Kluyveromyces lactis: one gene and its partners. The protein of the gene in region 1 purifies or fractionates together with the protein of each later gene. This does not show direct contact. Links are inferred from orthologs where the notes say so. Each region holds a gene or a part of one and is shown on either strand. Other genes may lie near its edges. The genes, in order: NOP58, UTP30, UTP22, RRP9, UTP7, NOP13 and PRP43.

What was found.
Region 2: the proteins of NOP58 (region 1) and UTP30 purify together in Saccharomyces cerevisiae (affinity purification with mass spectrometry, with the first as the bait; 4 studies listed by BioGRID). This does not show direct contact. The link is inferred for Kluyveromyces lactis from reciprocal best matches to the Saccharomyces cerevisiae genes NOP58 and UTP30.
Region 3: the proteins of NOP58 (region 1) and UTP22 purify together in Saccharomyces cerevisiae (affinity purification with mass spectrometry; 4 studies listed by BioGRID). This does not show direct contact. The link is inferred for Kluyveromyces lactis from reciprocal best matches to the Saccharomyces cerevisiae genes NOP58 and UTP22.
Region 4: the proteins of NOP58 (region 1) and RRP9 purify together in Saccharomyces cerevisiae (affinity purification with mass spectrometry; 6 studies listed by BioGRID). This does not show direct contact. The link is inferred for Kluyveromyces lactis from reciprocal best matches to the Saccharomyces cerevisiae genes NOP58 and RRP9.
Region 5: the proteins of NOP58 (region 1) and UTP7 purify together in Saccharomyces cerevisiae (affinity purification with mass spectrometry, with the first as the bait; 3 studies listed by BioGRID). This does not show direct contact. The link is inferred for Kluyveromyces lactis from reciprocal best matches to the Saccharomyces cerevisiae genes NOP58 and UTP7.
Region 6: the proteins of NOP58 (region 1) and NOP13 purify together in Saccharomyces cerevisiae (affinity purification with mass spectrometry; 3 studies listed by BioGRID). This does not show direct contact. The link is inferred for Kluyveromyces lactis from reciprocal best matches to the Saccharomyces cerevisiae genes NOP58 and NOP13.
Region 7: the proteins of NOP58 (region 1) and PRP43 purify together in Saccharomyces cerevisiae (affinity purification with mass spectrometry; 6 studies listed by BioGRID). This does not show direct contact. The link is inferred for Kluyveromyces lactis from reciprocal best matches to the Saccharomyces cerevisiae genes NOP58 and PRP43.

The regions. Positions count from the first base shown.
Region 1 is NC_006042.1:801,123-804,615, forward strand, and holds NOP58 (RNA-processing protein NOP58), read right to left. Parts: upstream 2,037-3,493; coding exon 501-2,036; downstream 1-500. Other genes in the region: U4/U6-U5 snRNP complex subunit SNU66, read right to left, coding at 1-141; DGK1 (diacylglycerol kinase), read right to left, coding at 2,710-3,493. UniProt on the Saccharomyces cerevisiae protein: Required for pre-18S rRNA processing. May bind microtubules.
Region 2 is NC_006037.1:536,648-539,201, reverse strand, and holds UTP30 (Utp30p), read right to left. Parts: upstream 1,314-2,554; coding exon 501-1,313; downstream 1-500. Other genes in the region: KLLA0_A05775g (glycosyltransferase family 15 protein), read right to left, coding at 1-268; KLLA0_A05731g (uncharacterized protein), read right to left, coding at 1,769-2,554. UniProt on the Saccharomyces cerevisiae protein: Involved in rRNA-processing and ribosome biosynthesis.
Region 3 is NC_006040.1:1,246,641-1,250,790, reverse strand, and holds the start of UTP22 (rRNA-processing protein UTP22), read right to left. Parts: upstream 2,801-4,150; coding exon 1-2,800. Other genes in the region: KLLA0_D14762g (uncharacterized protein), read left to right, coding at 3,642-4,046. UniProt on the Saccharomyces cerevisiae protein: Involved in nucleolar processing of pre-18S ribosomal RNA and ribosome assembly.
Region 4 is NC_006038.1:970,261-973,641, forward strand, and holds RRP9 (ribosomal RNA-processing protein RRP9), read right to left. Parts: upstream 2,205-3,381; coding exon 501-2,204; downstream 1-500. Other genes in the region: KLLA0_B11055g (uncharacterized protein), read left to right, coding at 1-42; chromatin-binding protein CTF4, read right to left, coding at 2,570-3,381. UniProt on the Saccharomyces cerevisiae protein: Involved in nucleolar processing of pre-18S ribosomal RNA. Required for efficient pre-rRNA cleavage at sites A0, A1 and A2, and biosynthesis of 18S rRNA.
Region 5 is NC_006039.1:804,216-807,688, reverse strand, and holds UTP7 (Utp7p), read right to left. Parts: upstream 2,178-3,473; coding exon 501-2,177; downstream 1-500. Other genes in the region: proteasome regulatory particle base subunit RPN2, read left to right, coding at 1-312; KLLA0_C09240g (dihydroorotate dehydrogenase 2), read left to right, coding at 2,906-3,473. UniProt on the Saccharomyces cerevisiae protein: Involved in nucleolar processing of pre-18S ribosomal RNA.
Region 6 is NC_006040.1:698,850-701,827, reverse strand, and holds NOP13 (Nop13p), read right to left. Parts: upstream 1,677-2,978; coding exon 501-1,676; downstream 1-500. Other genes in the region: MDG1 (Mdg1p), read right to left, coding at 2,333-2,978.
Region 7 is NC_006038.1:40,979-45,083, forward strand, and holds PRP43 (DEAH-box ATP-dependent RNA helicase PRP43), read left to right. Parts: upstream 1-1,305; coding exon 1,306-3,609; downstream 3,610-4,105. Other genes in the region: protein kinase COQ8, read right to left, coding at 1-759; KLLA0_B00583g (protein kinase subunit beta), read right to left, coding at 3,841-4,105. UniProt on the Saccharomyces cerevisiae protein: Pre-mRNA processing factor involved in disassembly of spliceosomes after the release of mature mRNA.

The DNA of each region.
Region 1 (3,493 bases):
TCTTCGTACTTTCCTATTTGTATCAGATGCACCTTCTTTTGATTCTGTTGACGTCTCAGTGGGCCTAGGTATAGTCTTCAAACCTAAACTTGCCCTAATTCGATTTGTTTCTTCCAAAGATATAGAAGTAATCTTACCCATGGCTTTGAAGTAACTGTATGCCTCGTAGAATTCGTATTGTGGTCGAATATCCTTATTATCAAATCCTGTTGCTTTCTTTCTGCCTCATCTCATCGCCAACTTGTCCGAATTTAAGAATTGTATATTTCAACATTTTCATCAGTGAATATTTTGATGTAACTATCAAAGCCATTGACGATGACAATGAGAAGAAGAGTACAGCGTATGACAATAATTCAATTATTATATTTTGTTTGAATTTGATACAGACTAATTTACAGAGGTACACACATAGTATGTTCGTATGTAATGGAACAGATTTATACGAGGTTATTAGAGATTTAATGCAAAAGAGTGGGGTTTTAATGTGAATACTATATCTATTTCTTTTCCTTCTTAGATTTCTTATCCTTTTTTTCTTTCTTTTCCTTCTTTTCCTTCTTTTCCTTCTTGTCTTTCTTCTCCTTCTTAGACTTCTTAGATTCCTTAGACTCTTCATCATCGTCTCTCTTTCTCTTCTTATCCTTCTTATCCTTCTTAGATTTCTTTTCTTCCTTGGTTTCTTCCTCGTCCTCGGATTCATCATCAGAGTCAGCAGGAGCAGCAGCTGAAGACACGGTGTCAGCATCTGCGTTGTATGCTCTAGCCTCTGTGATTTCAGTCTTCTTGTGCTCACGGACGACCTTTGGTGTGGTTCTCAAGTCTCTGCCTTCTAATTGGGACAATCTTGATTCTACCTTAGCTCTGGATTCCAAACCGATGTCACCAGAATCGTCTCTATCTTCAGCCAAAGCATCGTAACGCAAAGAAACGGCAGCCTTAGCAGCCAAAACTCTGGCAATCTTACCCTTGTTCTTACCAGATGCTTGGCCAACCAAGGAAGCGTGGTACAATAGACCATATTTAGGAGTGTCATGCTTAGTTTTCAATGCTCTGAAAAGAGCCTTTTCAGCACCCAAGATTTGGATGGTGGAAGCTGGAGACTTGGCCAAAGAGATTAAAGAACCAGAGTGTGCGATCAATCTAGCACCAACCAATTCACCAACTAATTGAGTCAAATTTGGAGCAATAGCCTTCATTCTTGAAGACAAATAGTTAGAAAGTTGTTCTCTGTAGGCAGCAAATTCAACAATTTGTTCGGCTAAACACTTGATATTAATCAAATCAACTGGGGTAATTTCAGTACCCATGGAGACTTCGGCAGCGGTCTTGACTCTCTCTTCAATTTCTTCAGGCAAAATTTCAGACATGTCAGTTTCAGCAGCATTAACTCTAATACCCATGGTCAAGATTATTCTGGCGTAAGCAACAGAATCAGTAACAATCTTGGCCAATTCTGGGAAATGCCAACCGTACCATTCCTTACATCTCATAGCGTAAGTGTTTAATTCTTTATCTAGATCGTCTAGCAAAGCAATAGCTTGGATGATCATAACATCAACTTTATCAGCAGAGAACTTCAATTTGTGACGACCGATGGAGTGAGCCAAACCCAATGACATCTTGGAAAGATCTTGATCGTTCAAACCTGGCAAAAGTTCTGGCAAGTACTCCTTGACTGCACGGTAAATATCTAAGGTGACGGCATCAGAGACAACGTTGAAGTTCAAACCCAACTTGTTGATAGCGTTTGCCAATTTAGTTTCAGAAACAACTAAGGTGGCCTTTTTGTCGGTCTTGCATTCTTCCAACAGTTTTTCCAATTGGGAAGAGACTTTACCATCAATCACAGAGTTAGCTTCTTCCAAAGCATTTGCAGCTGATGAAAATTTAGAGAAAGCAGCAATCTTGAATTGGTTCAAGACCTTGTCACTGCTGTTCAAATCCTGAATCAAAGAAGAGGACTTATAGATCTTCTTGTCAGATGCTTTCAAAAGAGCATACCCAGCTGAGGTTTCTGTCAAGACGTAGGCCATCGCTAAAAAGTCTTTTATGTGTATGTTGCTAGATGATCCTAATTATTCAACGGGTTCTTTGAGATATCGTAGATATGATGGATGTGCTTAATTCTTCAATCGAAACGTTAATACCATTCTGTAGTTCAATACTGATGAGATGAGCTTGTCGAAAATTTTTCAATGTTAGTTAAATTTCAAAAAGAAATGAAAAGAAAACACATCTGGACACCACATATATAAATCACGTGTTATAAAGGGACCAGATAAAGAACTGCACTGTTTGTTCTTCATATATCGAGACCAAGCACATTCCAATGGCCAATACGGTTCACAAAAGCATCAAACTAGACGTTGTATATTAAACAATATTTGCTGGTAGTTTTTAATTTATTCAAGTCTATACATAAGGTGAGATGTAGAATATATGTGCCAAATCAATTGACTTGTATACAAAAAATGTAGGTGTGAAATGTGATCATTAACTGTCATTTCCTCCCGTCTATCTTAAGTTCTCCGGTTATAGTCAAATATTCAAAGGGATTGAATTTCATATGCGATCATTGAAAGTGGTACATCATCAGTGAGGAAGGTTTTGATAAAAGCCTGCTCAGTGTAAAGGTAAGAGGAGGGAACACGAAAAGTAAAATACAAACTAGGTAATGGTAAATGGTGCCTCTACGCACCGCTCTCCTCAATTCTTGAAAATGCGGATGACAGCTGTCATGAAAATGGCGGATAGAACTGGAATAGTGAAGTTATCATCCCAGTTAAACAAGTCGATACCTTCACTCAAAGCTGCGACAAAACCACCTAATAGCGAAAGTTGTAGTAGGTTTAGTTTGCTTGTCTCTTCGGTCCAGGAGATTTCACCTGGTTTGTTCACCCAGTTATAATGAGGCACAAAGAATCCGTAAAATGAGTAACAAGTTATGAGACCAACGGAAAAGGCTGCAATGGAACCTGCTAAAGACTTATTTCTGGCCAATTTTGGTGTAAGGTGTCCGTACTTTCTACCGAAAGTAGACGCAGCGGTATCTGACCAACTTAGTAAGAACAGTGAGATTAACGCGATATCTTTACTAAAAAAGGAGAACGCAAAAGTCAGGCCCAATAAGTACCATAGGACTCCATTATACGTATGAATTTCTTTTTTCCTCATCAATGCCCCAACACAACGACAATACATTTTATTGAAGAATGGAGAACGTAGACGAATGAAGTCTAAAATAAATACGACAGTAAATCCTACTATCAATGGAAATTTCACTTTCTTGTAATCAACATTTTGAGTGTAAAGATATAGGGTAATAAAACCAATAGATGAATGGAATAGTTTCCGTGGTATTTCGTGTTTTGTAATGAAATCACCAAACCATTCATGTGACTTTAAATGAATTTCTGTTAATGGTAGATGAACATCACTCAGACTCTTTCCCAAGACAACTGTTTCCTTCTGTTTCTTTGTATTTACTCCG
Region 2 (2,554 bases), on another chromosome or scaffold:
ATTCACCAAAACTCTTATTGAACCGCCTTATGTTGTCATATTTGTGTAGGACATCTTCGGATCTAGGGAAAAAGCCTTGTTCTATTCTTTGATGCAGATATACTTCCTTAATGACAGCAAAACCCACACGGATAAGGTATAAAGTCAATGACAGTGATACAATAGCAGCGTAGGCACCAAGGTACACTCTCCGAAGGGCGAACATCGAATACCCAGCTAGGGAACTGCCATCGCTATAGATCATCTTATATATGCATGAAGTTTGCATACAGTGCCTATTTTAAGAATTCCATACATTTTTTTCATCAAAAATCTGTCAAAGTTCAAGATATACTGCTCAAGCCTCTTGAAGGAAAGGGCAGAAATTTAGCTGTTTCACATAGTACGGAAGGATTCACCAGTAATTACAACTATGTAATGATATGCTTATTTTTGAGAGGGTTCTATAATAGTATTTTTATTCTTAAATTAAAGTACATGTAAGACCAATTGGAGTTGTTTCATAGCCTAATTTCTTCATCGTCATCGATTGATTCTTGTTCTAGTTTCTTCCATATTGGTAAGCTCAGACTGTTGCTAGTCTTGACAAATATAGAGGAGATTTTCCCATCTTTGATGCACCCACCTTGTGGCTTTTTTGATCTGTCACACAGAAAGTCTATCACATCTTCTGCATTCGCCATTAATTCCGCCTCAGCATGTACGCCGATTTCCCCAATTTTAATGCTTAAACAGTTGTCTTTGTTTGGTAGAAACCAGGTATTCTTACATATGGACTTTACTTGTGCTTTCACGTATTTTGGGTCACAATCTTCCTTCATTTTGGAACCTTTCTCTTTAATTTGTTTTGACATTCTTACAACAAACGGCAGCTTTCTATTCGAACGGTAGAAAGTTGAGCCCAGGACACTTGGTAATAAATGGTGAACTCTGTAATCCGCTACTATCATGTCAAATTCATTATATAACTCTTTCAGTTTTTTACCTCTGAACCGTTGCTTCAGTTTCTTGACGCTGATAATTTCTTTGAATAATTCTGCCGTAGCCTTTTCCTTCGTCAACGAATCTCGATATAGCGTACTTGGGTCCTTACAGATCAGTAGAATTCGCACATCATTTGCAGATTTCATCTGGCTGTGTTTCAAAGGAATGATGCGGGGGACGTGGTCGTTTCTTATTCCAACAGGTTGTTGTGTATTGATGATCAAATGGATGCTGGTATCGTTAGCTAACTTGGGATCCACTTCACATTGTTTCGTCAAAGCTCGTAGAGCCTTGGTTGTAGCACCATCAGTATCTAATTCGATTGGCATAGCCCAATGTTCGCTGGTTTATCGAGAGTAGCAACAAACCTTTCTTTATTCTTTACATCCATGAGATGAGATGAGATGAGATGTCTCCATTTAGTAAAATTTTTGTAGTGAAATCAATTTCATAAAGAGTTATAAATGATAAATATCAAAAACGGACGTGAAAGCCACTCCGATGGTGCATAAATAAGACGCAACTTCAACGAAACCCTTCATGGTAAGCTGTAGCTTTGTATGTTCAGTAAAGATATACAGAAGATGTATTCGTTTGTTTCTTTCTAGAAGATATGATTTACATAGAGAGATAAAGGTTAAAAGTAAGTAAGATTAGAGTTTGAATAGAGAGATAGTTAAAGAAAATAACAGTAGCGGACAAAGCCAAACTTAACTTTTTTTCCTCCTAATAAATGTTTGGATCTGATGTTGATTATTCCTATTTTTTTTTTTATTTATTAAGTTTAATCGAACAATTCGCTGATGCTTGATGGCAATTCTTCAATTTGAGTAGAGTAGAATCTTTCCAATTCTCTCATAGCACCGATATCCTTATTGGTGACGAAGTTGATAGCAATACCCTTTCTACCGAAACGACCACCTCTACCGATTCTGTGGATATAGTTTTCCTTGTTGGATGGCAAGTCGTAGTTGATAACCAAAGAGACTTGTTGGACATCGATACCTCTAGCCAACAAATCAGTGGAGATCAAAATTCTTGAAGAACCACTTCTGAATTCCTTCATGATGGTGTCTCTTTCCTGTTGTTGCAAATCAGAGTAGATAGCAGAGACGGTGAAGTTGTTTTCTCTCAATCTTTCGGTCAATTCTTCGACCTTTCTTCTGGTGTTACAGAAAATAACAGCTTGGGTAACGGAGATAGAATCGTACAAATCGGTCAAACAGTCGTACTTGTATTGTTCTTCTTCAACGTTAACGTAGTATTGACCAATACCTTCCAAGGTCAATTCATCCTTCTTAACCAAGATTCTGACTGGGTCCTTCATGAACTTGGAAGTGACTTCCAAGACATCACCTGGCATGGTAGCAGACAACAAGACAACTTGGGAAGTTGGTGGCAACATGGTGAAAATGTTGTAGATTTGTTCCTTGAAACCAGTAGACAACATTTCATCGGCTTCATCCAAGATGAACATCTTGATGTTGTCAGTCTTGAAGATTCTACGGTCGATCATATCGAAAACACGACCTGGAGTACCAACAATGATTTGAGCACCACCTCTCAAAGC
Region 3 (4,150 bases), on another chromosome or scaffold:
CAACGGAACCTGGCATGGTGAATGGACGTGGCTCTACAAATGGCTTAATGGCAATAAGCTCAATCAATTCTTCTGACAAATGGCCATATAAGAGATGAGAATCTAGCCATTTCTTAAATAGTCTTACCACTGGAGAGTAGAATGGGTAACTATGGGAAATGTTTTCCAAAGTTCTAGTATGTCTAATAGCAGCTTGGTACTTGGCAGTAAATTTCAAGAATGTCTTTTCCAGCTCTGGTCTTAGTTCTTTTCTTGCGTTGTTAATTGCTCTCAAATACATAACTTCGTCTCTCTCAGTTAGAACTCTAAACTTGAAACCGTATCCTTCTGGAGTCAAAATGTTTAGAGTAACTATTTCCAAGTTGTATGGAATCGATTCATCACGTGTAAAGTAGCACTTGTACTCACTATGAGTCTGCGTGATGGATTCTTGAATCTTCAATAAAAATGCAGCTTTAGCCTTTTCCAACGAAGTAATTTCGTCAGGCCATTTTGTAGACGTTTCGAATTCGATAACAACGTCTTGTAAGAAATCAGGATTAGAATATGCGTATGGGACAGGCTGACATAATGATGTGTACCTGAATGCAGAACCAATAGGTAAAAGAGATTTAATTGATAATGGGAGTTTTAGCTCGAACATGATTTTATACAAATCGTCAAAGGACTTCTTCAAGTTATAGTAGCTTGATAGGTTTAGAACTGATGTCTTTGAAGATGCAGGTAGGTTCGGTAGTGGTAACAACTGTTGGAATTGGCTAGTGGAATTATTGATGAGTTTGCAGTCTTCAGTCAAATGTAGCCTTAGAACATAGGACAAAATCGAAGAAACAACACTTTCAATAGCAGAAGTTGACCAGACACAGCAGTTTGCAATGGAACCGTCCTTGAATCTACGAAGAGATGCTTTTTTACCCCAAAAAATCTTGAATTCATTAGCTTCATTAGTTAATTCTTCTGTGTTCTCTGGGCCCTTAGTCACAAGCTTCTCACATTCTGCAGGGTTGATCAACAGTTTAATTTGGATTGAAGTGAAATTTGGAACAGCAGCAACTTTTCTCTTTGTTACTGGGAAAGTAGATCTATTGTTAACTAGAGCCACTTCAAAAGCTTTGATTCTATCCTCAAGGGCAATCTTCACGATGTTCGATACTTTATTGCAGATGAAATTTTCGAATGATATAAAGCTAATCTTTTCAACGGGACCGAACTTGGACAGTAGTAAATTGATGGATGGGATATCTAAATCATAGTAAGCATCATATTTCACTGTCTTGATCTTGTTTAAGTTAGTTAAGAACATGTTTTCGAACTGATCTCTGACGACGTCATTCAACATCAATAAACTTTCTTGCGCGTAGATCTTTAGCATTTGATAGCTGTTAACAGACATTTTACTCAGTATGTTAACTTTGGTGGTTTTATCAAAGATTGTAGGTGTTTGGAAACCTTCTTCAACGTATTTTGAGGAAGTGACAGTTGCAGTAGTGCTATAGTCGGAATAGAATTGTAAGTACCCATCAGTACAAAGATCCATTGTGGCCAAATATTTGATTACACCTTTGAATAATTGGTAAGATGAGAACCCATGCAATAAAATTCTGTTACCATTCAACCCACCACCATTTAGTAGGGCTGCCATCAACGTGGCAAACTCGAAATTTCCAAAACCACCCAACGCATCTGAATGAGACATATTTGATGAGAAGCCTCTCTGAGATAACCATAGCTTCCCCAAAATACAAGCCTGTTTAAACTGTTCTGTTTGTTTCTTTGATTTGTGTAAGTACTTCAAATAGTGTTCGTGACAAGAAGATGATAATACCGAGAAATTGTAGAAAGGTGTCGGAGTTTCGTTATCCTGACCGACTCTGATACAGTTCTTATTGGGTAGCAACTTCTTTGATTCGAAGAAATTGTATGGGAACCCCACGATCAAGTTTATGCTGAATTTAGTCTTGTAGAAATTATAGTCCGATGAAGTTTTCTCCTTACAACTTATCTTTAATACCGTTTGTAAAGGATCGTTGTTAAAGTATGAATATTCCAAGTGTAAGAAATCCAGCTGGCTTCTTTTCAGGACGAGTGAGATATGATGAGTCAAATACGCGAGGTATACTGAACGCTTGTGGAAACATCTAAAATTCAAGAAATCTTTCTTTTCGAACAACTGCTCAGGCATAGTCAACAAAACGTCTACTGCGGAGCCCTGAGGTTGGTAGATGGCAGTCTTCAACCCGAATGATCCAATTAAACTCACGTCCGGCTTTAAATAATTGAATTTGTACTGTGTGTTCTTCGCTTGTGGTTTTGGATCCACAAACGGAACTGATACCACTTTCCCATGGAAATATTTCTCTACATCTTCTAAGCTTTGCGGAGTCCATTCCGGTACTTCCTGTATCATATCATATAGTTTATGCAAAAACTTCTCCACCCTTACGATGTGTGAGTCCTTCAACTTCACTTGTTCCAATAACTCATCGATTTGTAATTTGAAAATGTTCGATTTGAAGAGTTCAGCCGTTTCTCTCGCTATTTGTATATCCTGGGAGCTCAACTTTGGCTTCTTAGCCTTATGGTCATGTGTGTTTTCCTCTTCCTCGTCTTCTTCCCCGCTGGAAGAGGCAGTAGCCTCTTCCTCTCTTTCTTCTTCTTCTTCTCCAGAAGAAGAAGAACCAGTCTTGTCACTGTCATTTTCAGCCTGTGAGCCAGTAATAGCTTTTACAAGCGCCTTCTTGGTGAAACTACCATTCCTGGACTTCTCACCATCTGGTGCTACACGTTTCACAGAGGCCATAGTTCACTAAATATCCACTTAATTCACTAGTTCCTGACCGTTTGCGCCTCTGGATTGATTATAATACAGAATGATAGCCAGTGCCCGAGTCCTAGGGTTTCAATTTCCCCTAGCCAAAACAGAAGAGAATTACCCTTTTAATATCTAGCAAACTAATACGAGGGAAATCCAAACAAAATCACTGTGATAAACCTGCCTATGGGTACGTTCATTCTATGTAAATGCGAATTCTTTAAACCTTTAAAGCTCATCGCCTGGCAAATTTTTCCAAAATTCGATGTGAAGGATTTTGATGCGTCTGTCACTTTATACGACGTGTCCAATCTCAGTCTCTCTGAATAATCAGTTAGATAGTCAGATACATAGAGTCATACTGGACTAAAGCCAAGTCCAACTCAAGTGCTGGAACTGGTACTATCCCGATATGTAGTAATATAGGGAATACATGGTTTTAGACGTACCGTATTGCTAGTTTTAGTGCACAATGTTACTTTAAGAAAAAAAAAATAGATTCGAGGAAGGTCAGATTGGATATTGAAAAAGATGAATGCCACCTGCCAGAATTGAACTAGCGACCTTTGCATTACAAGTGCAACGCTCTACCACTAAGCTAAGGAGGCACGAAATCTATTACAAATTTTACAGATTTTTTAGATCATTCGGCGGGTTATCTGTTGAGACGGATTAGAAACAATAGACGGTCAAGTATCAACATGAAACATCATTAACCAATCTGAGTTATTATATAAAGAGGCCATAGATCTGGGGAAAGACCATCAACACAGTCATGACAGATCGCCAGGTGCATCAACACACTAGCTATATATAGCTAGTAAACACTATGGATTCATCTGATACCGAAGGTTTTGAATTAATTACACGTGACTGTGACTGCGACAACCAGGATCACCTACATGGCAGCGTCACTGAGTCTCCGCAAGGAAGTAATGATCCGACAAGAGGTATCTGTGAAGATATACAAAGACTCGATATCGTTAGTGATGGTAGTGCTCCTAAACAGAGTTTAAAAGAGGATAAAAATGTTAACCCATACTCAGACTTAGATCCCGAGAGAGAGATATTTGGAGGAAGTACTTACGAAGTGTTTGATAGGGAATACAGATATCGAAGCAGTCTGTTGTTTAGTTATTCCAAGAAGAATAACAACTCGTGTGACAGCGAATATAAAGCTTTGATGACTTTTCCAGGTTCCAAGACAAGACGTCTGTTCATCTACAACAAGTGAAGTCAAAGGACCAATTTAACAGATGGGTTTACTGTTTAATTGGACAATTGAGACTAGCGGGACTAGAGAGTTTTATCCCGAACAAAAGCAATGACTGGTCCATA
Region 4 (3,381 bases), on another chromosome or scaffold:
TTGATTGGTGCTGCCGCTGGTATTGCTTTGGCCTTCCTATGATTCCTTTACTTTGGGAGTTGTTTGCTTTCTCTTGAGACGATTTGTGTTGTTTATTACTCTTTCGTTCCTTGCTTGTTTACAAGAACATGAGGAACGCTTAATACTTAAAATAAAAAAATCCATTTGACTTTTCCCGATCTTTTCCTTTAATCCTTTGAGCTATTCCTTTGATGTTCCCGCATTTAATTCTCTACGTCGCTGGCTATGTGAATTAAATCTTATCTGTTCTCAAATTCGTTCTCTAACACCTTATTTTATCATGGCTGACAATGAAAGACACTACTCAAAATCATGTCACAATGATTTCTATTAATCCTTTCCTAGTTCTCTACATCATTGATCGGTTAGAGCTCTCTATATATAAATATATACCCTTGTAACAATTACTAATGTATTTCGGCTTTATTAAAGTATTCTTCTTTTTACTATACAGGAGATTTTTCTATTGATAAGATTAACTAGAATCCGGTTTGTTCTATCACAGCAGAAAAGATACCATTTCTTGCACCTGGTACCTTGCTAATCCATCTTCCTAATCTATGTTCTTTACTGACACTTGCTAGAATTCTGAAGGTTTCTCTACCGGTTCTGCCGGATTCTACGGCTTGAATTTTGGTTACCACACCTTTACAGTTAGGTAAGTCTCCTAATAGTTCAAATGCTCTTAAGTTCTCATTGATTTTCCATACCTTCAGGGTTCCATTCCAGGATCCTGAAATGAAAATATCAGAATATGGAACGGCGTATAATGATGTTATCCAAAATGGTTGGGCAATGGATCCACCTTGTAATTGTGCATTGCGTAATTCATCGCTCACTTCCCCAGAGATTTTTTTATCCTCAACTAATGGTACAACACCATGAGCAGTTCTAACGGTGAAAAGAGGTTTCTTTTTGGATAAAGACCATAATGATATATTTCCGTTATCAGAGCCAGTAACGAAATGTGAATCATCTACCATGCTAATACAATCGATACTTCCCTCGCCATAAAAGTGAGGTGGGGTCTGTTCATGCATATCTTCTCCGCCTTCTGCGGACAATTGTTGGTTCTTCAACCATTTTTTCCTCAGTCTTTCAGGATCATCACCACCTCTGAATGTCAATCTGGATTCGTCAGCTATTTTCCACAACATAGCGGTACGATCCCTGGACCCCACTGTCACACAACGCTCCATATTTAGGGCAGAGATATCAATAACCAAATCCTGATGACCGTATAATATTTCCAGTTGAGAAAACTGGTTAATAGCATACGTTCTGATTTTGTAATCGGCACATGCTGCGAATAATTGATCCGAATTCTTCTTGAATGCTAATCCTAAAACCTCACCTCTACGATCTTTGGTTGGAATAATTTTCACAGGGGCTAAAGATTCGGTACTCCATACTATCAGTTTACGGTCACGACCACCACTAACTACGTATTTACCATCAGGAGAAGCTGCCACCGTTAAGATTTCATCGTAATGACCTTCTGTCACATTCTCGTACTCAAATTTACCTTCCGGTATGTATTTTCTACCACCTTTAACATATTTCACTTTTTTTGGTCTAGCTTTGAAATCAGTAACATCATATTTTGTTAATTGCATGTCCTTGCTAACAGTGTAAGCAAATATTTTGTCCTTGCTCTTATTTTGAACATCTTTATGAGAAAACTTGTTAACTGAGGGTTGATAACACGAAATACATGTTAGATTATTTTCGCCTACTCTTGTAAACGTTGTTCTGGATTCACCTATCAAAAGCTTATTTGAAATCCATCTATAGATACGCCCTTGTTGCTCTGCAACATCTTGTTTCAATCTGGAAGCAATGATATCTCTGTCCAAGTCACGAGCATCAAAGTTATTGTAATCCTCTAATTGTGTTTGACGGTCCTGTTCAGTGCTTGCGGTCGCCAGAGAATCGCCAATATCTTCAGCTTCAGCCTTTAAATTCTCTAAATATTGTTTAGCCAATCTTCTTCTCTTATCAGCAGGGTTTTCGCCTTCAAACTCGTCTTCAGATTCCAAGTATTCTGCTACCTCATCGCCATCATTGGATTCATCTTGGACATCACCTTCATCAGAAGAAATATCCGTGATTTCCTCATCTACCTCTTCGACAGAATCCCTATTACGTTTTTTTGAGACATTGCTTGTACTAGATCTAGCCATGGTGTACTTGGTGGCCCTCTGGTTGCTGTCTCGTCTGGTTTAGTTGCAGCTCATCGCCTGTTTCAATGATGTTGGTTCAGATGTACAATTTTTTTTTCAGTATCGCCAATTTGTAAAAGAAACGACACCACTTGAAAAGTGACAAAAATTGAAGAATGCATGAACTTGCAACAGAATTAAATAATAGTTTGGAAGACTTTACTCGATTCAACGACCTATATGCCTGATTTCATTGGTATTGCTAGAATTACTTAGTTTAATTTACATTACGGCAGAAAATGAACGTCAATGCACGGATCGGAAAATCAATTATTATTTAAACTGACAATACTTATTCTAGTCCAGATAAGAAGAACAGGGGATTATCATATATTATTGAAATCGGCCTCAAATTTGGCCTCAATAATCGTGTTGATTTTTCTTACTAGTGGAAGTAGTTCAGCTCTTTCTGCAATTTTTCTTGCAGCAGATAGGGCCTTATCTTGCTTCAGTTCGTTGACGATTGAAACGGCCTTGTTAACATCTTGCTCGGAACAGACATAAGCTAAAAGTCGTAGTAAGGACTTATCATGTGTTGCTACCAGATGCTGTAATAGATCTGTTTCATTTCCGTATATCTCACCTTCATTATCCATCGTGTCTTTTAGTAAATCACTTAGTATCTTGGAGCGTAGAAATTCCTCTTCTGCTGCTAGGTACATTGGAATTTCGACACCATTACTGTTATCAATATCTTCCACATCGCTGCTGTCGTTACGATTATCGTCTTGTGTCTTTTGAAGCTCGGATTTTGATACAACTGGGATTCTGACTTCCATTTCTGTAGGAACGGTCATTGGGATATCTGGCCATGCGTTCTTCCCCTTCAATAATAAATACGAAAATGTATCGAAGTTTAATCCTAATGGCCAAACGTGGACGTTCTTCGGATGCTTACCCCCTGACATCTTCCAAAGTTCTAAATTGGTATCAACTATGGGTACCCATCTCGCGTCACTACCACTTCTCCATTTGGACAGAATTAACAAAACATTATCATGACCAAACATACACGGATCACCAAAGCTTGAGAAGAATAAGGATTTGATACCTAGGGGGTTGAATGAATTGAAAATATCATCGTATTTTAAAAATTCAATGTCTTCATCATCATTTCCCGGCTGATTCTGTTGAGGCA
Region 5 (3,473 bases), on another chromosome or scaffold:
GAGGTGGAACTGGAGGAAAAAAAGAAGGAAGAGGCCAAGAATACTGAAGAAGCTAAGATCAAATACACGACAACGAGCTATGATGTTGAAAACCTCACCCGTGTGCTTCCGCAGCAACTCAAATTCATATCTTTTGCGAAAGATAGCCGTTTTGTACCTGTTCGCAAATTCAGAGGAAACTCAGGTGTCATTATCGTTGAGGATAAGACACCTGAAGAACCACTAGAATTAATCAAGACCGTAAGACAAACAAAAGATATATATGCCCCATTACCATCTTCATTTAAAGTCGAGGATTCTCTTGAATTTTAATCGAGAAATTAGGTCCTAGCAATAGCGGTCATCCTTCATAATGTACAGTAAATAATCACCTCAAACTAAGTCGTATCTATATGCAAATAATTCAAACATGTTTTTGCAACAGTCGATACTAAGCCGGCTATAATAACAGATTATATAAGTGTTCATGTAAGTATACATATTGATAACTACTTGATGATTCAAGAAAATCTTGATAAGGCTTCATCAACAAGGTCTTTGTGATCATCAGCAAGTTCACCCTTCTTAATTTTTTCTTTTCTTTGGCGGCTAGACTTTTCCTTCTCTAGTTGTCTTTGTACCCTTAACTTCCTTTCATCCACAACATTACGAGTTTTCTTTCGTAGGAACGCACGTAATCCGGAGTTCTTACCTTTAACATCAGGTCTGGCATCAGGAATGTCTTTGTTTAGTTTGGATTTTTCTTGCTCTGCATTCGAGATAATTGCAAGATCCTTTGCATTTAATCTGACTTGAGAAGCACGAGAATCTACTGTACCTATTGTGTTTGGATTTAATGTTATAGAATCAGCAGGTAACTTATTCAATAATGATCTCACTTCTTGTTCCTGTCTCTGTTTGCTTGTTTCGTATGGGTTGGCCTCTAGTGCGTCGTAGTTGGCTTCCCCTGCGCCTGGAATAATCAAATTGGTTATACCCTTTTGATGTCCAACACCTAGCAAATCTTCGAATGGCGCAAACTGGAAGTTCTCTATTTTATTTCCAGCGAATAAATGAGACATATACGGAGTATTTCTATCTTTGTAACCGCTAGAGGTGAAATACGGTCTAGCAGCTTTCCCACTTTTCAACGTATCTTTCCAAATTGTTACATGAGGCCCTCTTGATACTGCAAGTAGACCTGTATCTGAAATTGCAACGTTAGTACCGGGCGTAGGCATGTTCTCAATACTATGTACTTCTTTAAAGTTTCTGATATCCCAAATCTTTAAAGATTTATCGGAACCAGTGGTGGCCATATAATAACCTTGTCTATCTACAGCAATTCCTGTTATTGATCCTCTAGATGATAATAGTCTTACCAGTGGTGATGGCATTGATGGTGACCATAGAGTGACTGTGCCGTTGCTATGTCCCAAATGCATTACTGCATTCCAAGGGTTCTGAGCCATCGCTGTAGTAGGACCTAGTTTAGTTCTGATCTCTGATACTAGTTGACCTGTCGAAACATCTTGATATTTCAAAAAACCTGTTTGTCCTGCTGTTGCCAAGAGATAATGATATGGTAAATATTCTAAATGTTTGACCTCTATGTGCTGCTTTAAACGATGCAGCTCTACACCTTCATGATCGTAAATGAACGTGTATTTTTTTTGTGCTACTGCAAAGAACTGTTCATTTTGCAAATATGTTGCTGCTTGCACTGTCTCCCCGAGATTTAGCTCACCACGAAGTTCACCTTTCCTCCAATCAAGAGATGCTACATGGCCCTTCCGACCTGCAATAAGCATATGCGTACCATTTCTGGAATAATTTACACGGTACGGACCAAAATCGTTTAATTTCAAGTCCAATGCCTTATTGGCCATGGAGGCGTCAACATGGTGTTTGATTTCAGCCTGTGTGAACTTGAACGTCTTTTCCATCTCATCTTCTGCTTCTAAATAACCATGCTCTTCGGGTAAAAGATATTCTGTAGCAGCAGTAGAGAGTACCGCTTCCTTATACTTCTGATCAATACGCTTCAATCCTGCCTTTAACTTCTTATCCTTGGTTTTCTTCTGCATCTTGTGAGACCCGTTGGCATCATCATCGTTATTCGATCTCTCAAATTTGTCCTGATTGTCTCTCCGTTGTAGGTCACTATACTGTGACTTACTACCTTTCTTAGCAACCATTATTGAATATTGATTCGGCTTCTCGTGAAGTGATACCTGATATCAGAAGATGTAGCAGTAAACTTGCAGAACCTTATATTGTGAAGCTCATCTCATCTCATCGTTTCTTAAAATTTTCGATATTGGATACTCGAGAAAAAAAGAAAAAATCCTTAAGTTGAGCTGAAGAATGATAGACATTACCAAGTAAGAATTGTATATGACTGATAAATAGATCAATCGGCGCATAGTACATGCCCAAAACGTGGGGAAATTCAGTTATAAATACCAAACCCAATGAGTCCAAACGATTTCTAACCAAAATAGCAATCATTTCTTCTTGAAAGAGTAGTTAAGAGTAGTTCCCTGAGTATTTTTCACTTGATCTGCATCCTGTAGTACCGGTGTAAAGTAGTATACTACCTTCTATGCATCTAGACATATGATAGGTATCTAAAAGAAATTAAATCAAAGTACAAATTAATATGCAATGGTGACCTCTGAGCTAATTGCACCAGGCATCTGCTAGTCACATACTTTTGTTCCTCACAGATGTGTTTCCGGAAAACACTCCGTCGAGTCTTAACTGAAAAATGAAATGAAAATGAAGAACTTGAACTAATGTTTTGGTCCTCCCGCAATGAATAGAGAGCTAGATCGTGTATCGTTGTTCTTTTCTCTTGTTATACAAGATTGGAATAGGCAAGTAGAGGTCACTCCGAATACCGCGTATTTTGCTTTTATCAACTATGAATAGTGGGTTCCCACGTATTTTGAGCAAGAAACTTTTTACGCTAAATCAATCGCAGTTCTTTGTCAAGAATGGCATGGTCCCATTGAAAGCAGGCATTTCTGGCCCTAAGCTTTTGAAGTACACTGTTGGGATAGCCATTGGTTCATTTGCGGGATTCTATTTCTCCAATTCGAGGTCTGCTTTCCATGAGTACGTCTTGTGCCCGATGTTGAGACTTGTAACGCCAGATGCTGAAGATGGGCATAAATTAGGTATCTGGTTCTTGAAGAATGGGTTGGCTCCAAGATTATGGTTCGATAACGATGATAAGGTATTGAATGTGAACATTTTTGGTAAGAAATTGACCAATCCAATTGGTTGTGCTGCCGGTTTGGATAAAAATGGTGATGCCATCGACGGTATACTTTCCGGAGGATTCGGTTATATAGAGATTGGTTCTGTGACTCCATTACCACAACCAGGAAACCCAAGACCTAGATTCTTTAGATTACCTTTGGATGATGCTGTTATCAACAGATACGGTTTCAATTCATCCGGCCATGACACCGTTGTCAACACATTAC
Region 6 (2,978 bases), on another chromosome or scaffold:
GGTACAACTGCTTTACGCTTGTAACGGTTTTTCGGTAAAAAAAATGATGTAGCAATCGACTTCACCCTTTCTCAAGCAACTAGCAACTTATGTATCGTCACCCACTACCTTATAAGTCCTGCCTTAGCGTCCCTTGATGGATGTATAGAGAAGTTGACGACGTTACCCTCGCCTATTTCTCCTTATGCAAGGCTTCTATTAGTAGACCTGCTTCAAGTTCTATATTTGTTTGCTGCTCTCGAATGCGTAAAAGAAAAAAAAAAAAGTCGTGCTCGCCGGTCGTGGAGAAGGATTCTCGAGACTGAGCGGTGAAGAAAAACAAGATGCAGCCTTCGACTTGCAGCAGAAGGATGATAACAGAGAACCTCAGTCCCATACGTCCTTCTATACTTTATTTTTGATAAGTATATATTCCTATGAGAGAATATAAATATGGGTATATGATCTATTTCGAACTAATATACAAGATTTTGATATATTTCATGTTTTCTTGACGCACATTAAAAAGTTGTCTTCTTACCTTGCGATGGCACAATGGCTGCAGATCCTCTTTGAGCAGAAGCCAATGCAACACTACTTTTCAAACGATTGTTAGAATCCTTGTGAGATGGTTGTCTATTGGAATAGGATGGTGCACGTCTTTCCCTAATTGGTGGTGGTGCTGCTGATGATGACGGTTGAGTCGTCTTTATGTCAAATGATGGCTTCCTTGGTTCCCTGGCATCTAACTCAGGTCTCCTTCTCACTTGTCTCTTTGATCTATCTTCACCGTATTCCATTCTAATAGGTCTGCTTGCAATCTTTCTACAACTTTTATCTTTAAGCGCATTGGTAGCACCTGTTTCGTCCTTAAAATCGATAAATGCAAACCCTTTACACTTACCAGTGTCTTCGAAAGTAGCCATTCTTATCCTCATAATTTCACCACAGTGTTGGAAGTGCTTCCTCAGTAGGTCTTCGGTAGTATCAAACGACAAATTACCAACAAATAGAATTCTGGATGGTGGGTTCTTTGATGCAGCTACTAGATCATTCTTATCTGGTCTTCCTTCATAACTGCCAGCGTTCTTGATGAGCAAGTTTCTTCCGTTTAGTGCACTTTCACTCAAACCAACTACAGCTTCCATTTGCTTCTCAGTTTTAAAATCAATGTAAGCAAAACCTTTATTTCTGAGTTTCTTGTTGTCATTCTTGGTCAATGGCATGTTTATTCTAACAATATCTTTCTCGGTAATAGCACCTCCTTCGTCATTCTCCTTTGTCTTTGCAACTATAAACCTAATTATATCTTCTTTCACGGTATCAAAAGCCATATTTCCAACCCAAACACCGAACTTCTTCTCCTTATTAGGTTTGGAAGTTATTTTTTCCTCCTCGACGTTGGTCTCCTCTGATGAACCTTCTTTTTTATTGGATGTATCTTCATTATCCTGTTTCTCGGCGGTTTCTTTCTTGTACTCTTCGATAGATTTCGAGTCAATGTTGTATTTAGCGTTTAATTCTTCAATTGTAACCTTACCTCTTCTCAATAAACGTTTCTGCTTTTTAGATAAAGGCACGGATTGGTTTAAATCAATTTCAATCTCATCTTCAGCCTTTCTCTTCTTGGTGGGGTCCTTTAAGACTTGACTTACAGCATCATCCACTTTTTTAACCTCTTTGCTGGAATCCGACATGTCGATTACTTTCGCTTATCTGAGTTCTTGTTCAACAATCTCAGTAGAAATGAAGGATCTACTTTGTAAAGGAGTCTGCAAGTATCTTTATACCATTTCAAGCTCATCTCATCTCATCTCATCTCAATGAATGTAAAATTTTCTGAACTAACGTTTAATTGCTTTTCAATAATGAGACTGGACAGAAATATCAATGAGTTTATGAAAAATATAACAGACAGGTGACAGTTTCTTTTGGATAGTAATTGGATGAACACTTCATTGCACCTCGTAGAATGTTAATGTTTCATTCTTAGAAGCAGTAAGTTTATGGTATTAAAATTAAGTTAATTATTAGTGACAATAGCATATTGTATTACAAAATTATATATATAAAAAGAGGAAAAATAAAATTAAACTTCACAAGTATTCATTACAATTGCTGGACGGGTATGAGCTGAAATAACAGATCAGTCAAACCTTAAGATCGGTGGCAGTTCCGGTTTTTTTGGGGGGTTTTTTACTTCTTCTTTTGGTATAAGTAAAGAACTTGCGTTCCTGTTTTGAAAGTCGTTGCTTGGGCAGTTCGGAATGTCATTTATCTAATAGAAATAACATTCAGCAAGCTTTCCCTTGCCTTGATGGGCCTTTATAAAAAAGGTGGCGCAAAGTTAGAATTAGTTGAATATTTTCTTTAACTTGGAGAAAAATCCCTTCTTTTTCTTCTTTTCTGGTTTTGCAGCAGTTTTAGTTGGAGTATTAGTACTGGTAGCATTGTTAGTTACCTTGTTGGCGGCATTGTTGGTAGTAGTCTTTGCTTCTTCAGCGGTCTTCTTCACATCTTCGGTGACGTTGTCAGCAATCTTAGTGTTGGCTTCAATAGCTTCATCAGCGATTTTTTCGACTTGTTCTTGAACTGCAGGGATAGAGTCCTTTGGAACTTCGCCTTCAGCAATTAGAAGTTCAGCTTCGCCTCCGATTTTTGGATCCAGTGTTCTTTGAACTAGTTCAGCTTCTTGTTCTGGAGAAGTGATAATACCTACTTCTTCTACGACATCAGAACCATCTGTGACCTGTGATTCGATGTGTGTATTCGGAATAGTAGCGTCTTGGGTTGGAACTGTTTCAGGTTCAGCAACGGCCTTTTCTTGCTCTAATTGTTCGGTTTGAACAGCTGGTTCAGTGGCAGATTGAATAACTGGAGCCACGTCATCAGTTGGGTTTTCTGCCGCAGCTGCAGTAGCTGCTGCAGTGACAGCTGCAGTTTCTTCTGCTTGCTGGTCCAAAGTTTCCTTTTTATCAGCTTCCTTCTCCTTCAATTCT
Region 7 (4,105 bases), on another chromosome or scaffold:
TGCAGCGATAGGAGTCCTGTCGAAACTCTTGAATTTCTTTTCCCAATCAGAACTCAATTCTCTAGCCAGTAGCCTGTCCAACTGTCTTGGAGGCATATAATTAGCACTGTTCTGAACTCTTGAAAGTATCGTGTATAATTGCGGAGGTAAAACCTTCTCATCCTGGAATGACATTAGTTGGCCCAACTTTAATGCTGCTCCTCTCATTTGAGAGAATTTATTTGCAATCCTTTCAACATTAGAATCTGATAACAGTAAATCTTTAAAACTTGATGATTGGCCACGACTCAGCTGAGTGATACTTTGAGATGCAGCAGAAATACCCACACTAGCAGCTAGGTGGCCGTAATGAAAAAGCCGAGAGATACGTGATGAAGGGACTTCTGAACTTTCCAGTTTATTAGCCTTTTGTTTGTTCACCAATTTATCCTCTGGAATAGCGTCAGCTGCTTTATTAGAACACCTGTGATAAGATGAAAAATGTCTCACATTTTTTTTGTTCTTGACTGAGCACTTGCTAAGGTGTGCTTTTTTAGAAGAGTGCCCTTTCGTAGATTTTCTGACGGATTCAGAAAGTTTACGGGCATGTTCCCAGTCCTTGTCGTAAAACCATTGAAATTTAGACAGTACCGGTCTTGTCAAAGTGGAAGTTTTTAGCCAAATATCAAGAGACTGTCTACCAATCGAGGCAGAATTTTTTACCACGTTGCAGAAGGACTCTGATAAACAGATAGCTTGATATAGCCCTTTTCTCGACATTGAATACAGCGATACTTCTCGATATCAATTAATTCAGCCGAAGAACTATCAGATATCACAAGATCAAAAATAAAGGGTGAAAGTATTTGATCTATCCAATGATACTACGAGTCAATGGTCAAATTCATGAATATACAGCGTAATAAGAATGGATTAAGACTCTGTCTTTACTTTATTACCTTTCCTTATTTCATGAGAGAGTCGAATCGTACAGATATCTTGCAGAATAATCCATCTTTTGAATTTCAAATAGATGCTTGTTTGCTTGCTTGCTCTTGCCATTCTAACCTTTGTTATCCGGGTAATGATGGAATTGCGATTTTGACATATGGACGTGTAGTTTTTTCTTTTTTAAAAATTTTAATGCAAATTGTAACATTAAGCTCATCTCATCTCATCTCATCTAGTGTAGTTCAATACTAGAGATAGTAGGTTAAGTGGTTATAAAATCCCCTGAATATTAGATACTACTGCTGAGTTTGGTTTACTCCGTTAGAGATTATTCGCATTACCAGTTGCAAAACATCAAACGTTGAGTAATTGACGATGGGCAAAAGAAGGTTTTCAAACGAGCATGTGTCTGCTGTTGAGACTTCTATTCCGGAGCATGCAGCTGAAATCGCAGAAAAATTAACCAAAGATCACCCTCCACCAGCAGCAGAGCCTTTAATTCATCATGATTCTGGTGAGTTCAGCGGGATGCAACGCCATCACACTACTGCGGCCGATGCCGAAAGATTGGAAAATGGATCAGTTAATCCATTCACTGGTGGCTCACTATCAGAGAAATATTTCGGTATTCTAAAGGTAAGAAGAGACTTGCCAGTGCACGCTCAAAGAGATGAATTCTTGAAGATCTATCAAGAAAACCAGATCATGGTTTTTGTTGGTGAAACGGGTTCCGGTAAGACCACTCAAATTCCTCAATTTGTGCTGTTCGATGAAATGCCACATTTACAAAATACTCAAGTTGCTTGTACGCAGCCTCGTAGGGTTGCTGCCATGTCTGTGGCACAGAGAGTTGCTGAAGAAATGGACGTCAAACTAGGCGAAGAAGTTGGTTATTCCATTAGATTCGAAAATAAGACCTCTAATAAAACTATCTTGAAATATATGACTGATGGTATGTTGTTAAGAGAAGCCATGGAAGACCATGACTTGAAACGTTACTCTTGTATCATTTTAGATGAAGCACACGAACGTACTTTGGCAACAGATATCTTGATGGGTCTTTTGAAACAGGTTATTGATCGTAGACCTGATTTGAAGATTATTATCATGTCTGCTACTTTAGATGCTGAGAAATTCCAAAGATACTTTAATAAGGCGCCACTTTTAGCTGTCCCTGGTAGGACACATCCAGTGGAGATCTACTATACACCAGAATTCCAAAGAGATTATTTGGATAGTGCTATAAGAACTGTTTTACAGATCCATGCTACGGAGGAGAAGGGTGACATTTTGTTATTCTTAACCGGTGAAGATGAGATTGAAGATGCTGTAAGGAAAATATCATTAGAAGGGGATCAGTTAATTAGAGAGCAAGGTTGTGGTCCTATCTCTGTATATCCATTATACGGTTCTTTGCCTCCACATCAACAACAGCGCATTTTTGAACCTGCTCCTGAATCCCATAATGGAAGACCTGGTAGAAAAGTCATTGTATCTACTAATATTGCAGAAACCTCTTTGACTATTGACGGTATTGTGTATGTTGTTGATCCTGGTTTCTCTAAGCAAAAAGTTTACAACCCAAGAATTAGAGTTGAATCCCTTTTGGTCTCTCCAATTTCAAAGGCATCAGCTCAACAAAGAGCTGGTAGAGCTGGTCGTACCAGACCTGGTAAGTGTTTCAGACTATATACTGAAGAAGCTTTCAAAAAGGAACTTATCGAGCAATCATATCCTGAAATTCTCCGTAGTAATCTTTCTTCGACAGTCTTAGAACTAAAGAAACTAGGCATTGACGATTTGGTGCATTTCGATTTCATGGACCCTCCTGCCCCAGAAACTATGATGAGAGCCTTAGAAGAATTAAACTTTTTGGCATGTTTAGATGACGATGGTAATTTAACACCTTTGGGTAGATTGGCTTCTCAATTCCCTCTTGATCCAATGCTTGCGGTAATGTTGATTGGATCCCCCGAATTTTCTTGTTCCGAAGAGATGCTAACGATTGTCGCCATGTTATCCGTACCTAGTGTTTTCATTCGTCCTTCGAAAGATAAGAAAAGATCAGATGACGCAAAGAACATATTTGCACATCCTGATGGCGACCACCTAACATTATTGAATGTCTACCATGCATTCAAGTCAGACGAAGCTTATGAGTACGGGATCAACAAGTGGTGCCGCGACAACTTTTTAAATTATAGATCTCTATCTGCTGCTGACAACATCCGCAACCAATTGGAAAGGTTGATGGTTCGTTACAATCTCGAGTTGAACACTACAGATTATGACTCCCCTAGATATTTCGATAACATTAGAAAAGCGTTAGCTGCAGGCTTCTTTATGCAGGTCGCAAAAAAACGATCTGGCGGAAAAGGTTATATCACAGTCAAAGATAACCAAGATGTTTTGATACATCCTTCAACTGTTTTGGGCCATGATGCCGAATGGGTTGTATACAATGAATTCGTTCTAACCTCCAAAAACTACATTAGAACTGTAACATCAGTTAGACCTGAATGGTTAATAGAATTAGCACCAGCTTATTATGACCTCGATCACTTCCAAAAAGGTGACATTAAACTATCGTTAGAAAGGGTAAAGCAAAAGCTCGATAAAATGGTGGAGCTACAACAAGAAAAAAAAAAAAGTGCGAAATCTAAAAAGTCTAAGAAATAACCAAGCATATAGATGTGTAACTTATATAATAAGATTAACCTTAGAATCAGCATGATAAGTCTTATTGTAGAAGTATTGTGCGGTATTATTAGCACGCGACTCAAAGTCTACGTTTTTTTTGCTGCATTTTATTGAAATTCGGTATGGTGTACGTTTTATATTCAACCCATAAGAACTTCGCTTATGATATTTCAGTGTAAAAAATATAAAATCAAATCTCTAGGAGTGGTTTCATTGCAATGGCGCATATAGTATCTGTGTTGCATATTTTCTTTTGTATCTAACGATGCTAGCAACACATAAAGTATTATGTTTAATAGAAGACGTTGCTAAATGATTAAGAACGACGTGGTTAGGAATTGGCAACGCACCTGAATTATTTTCACTACCTGGTTCAGCATTTTTGTTGTAATTATTGAGAATAACATTCTCCAACTGAGGTGGAAGTTGTGGAGGAGTTAACCATGACATATTTTGTTGATTGTTCTGTTGCTGG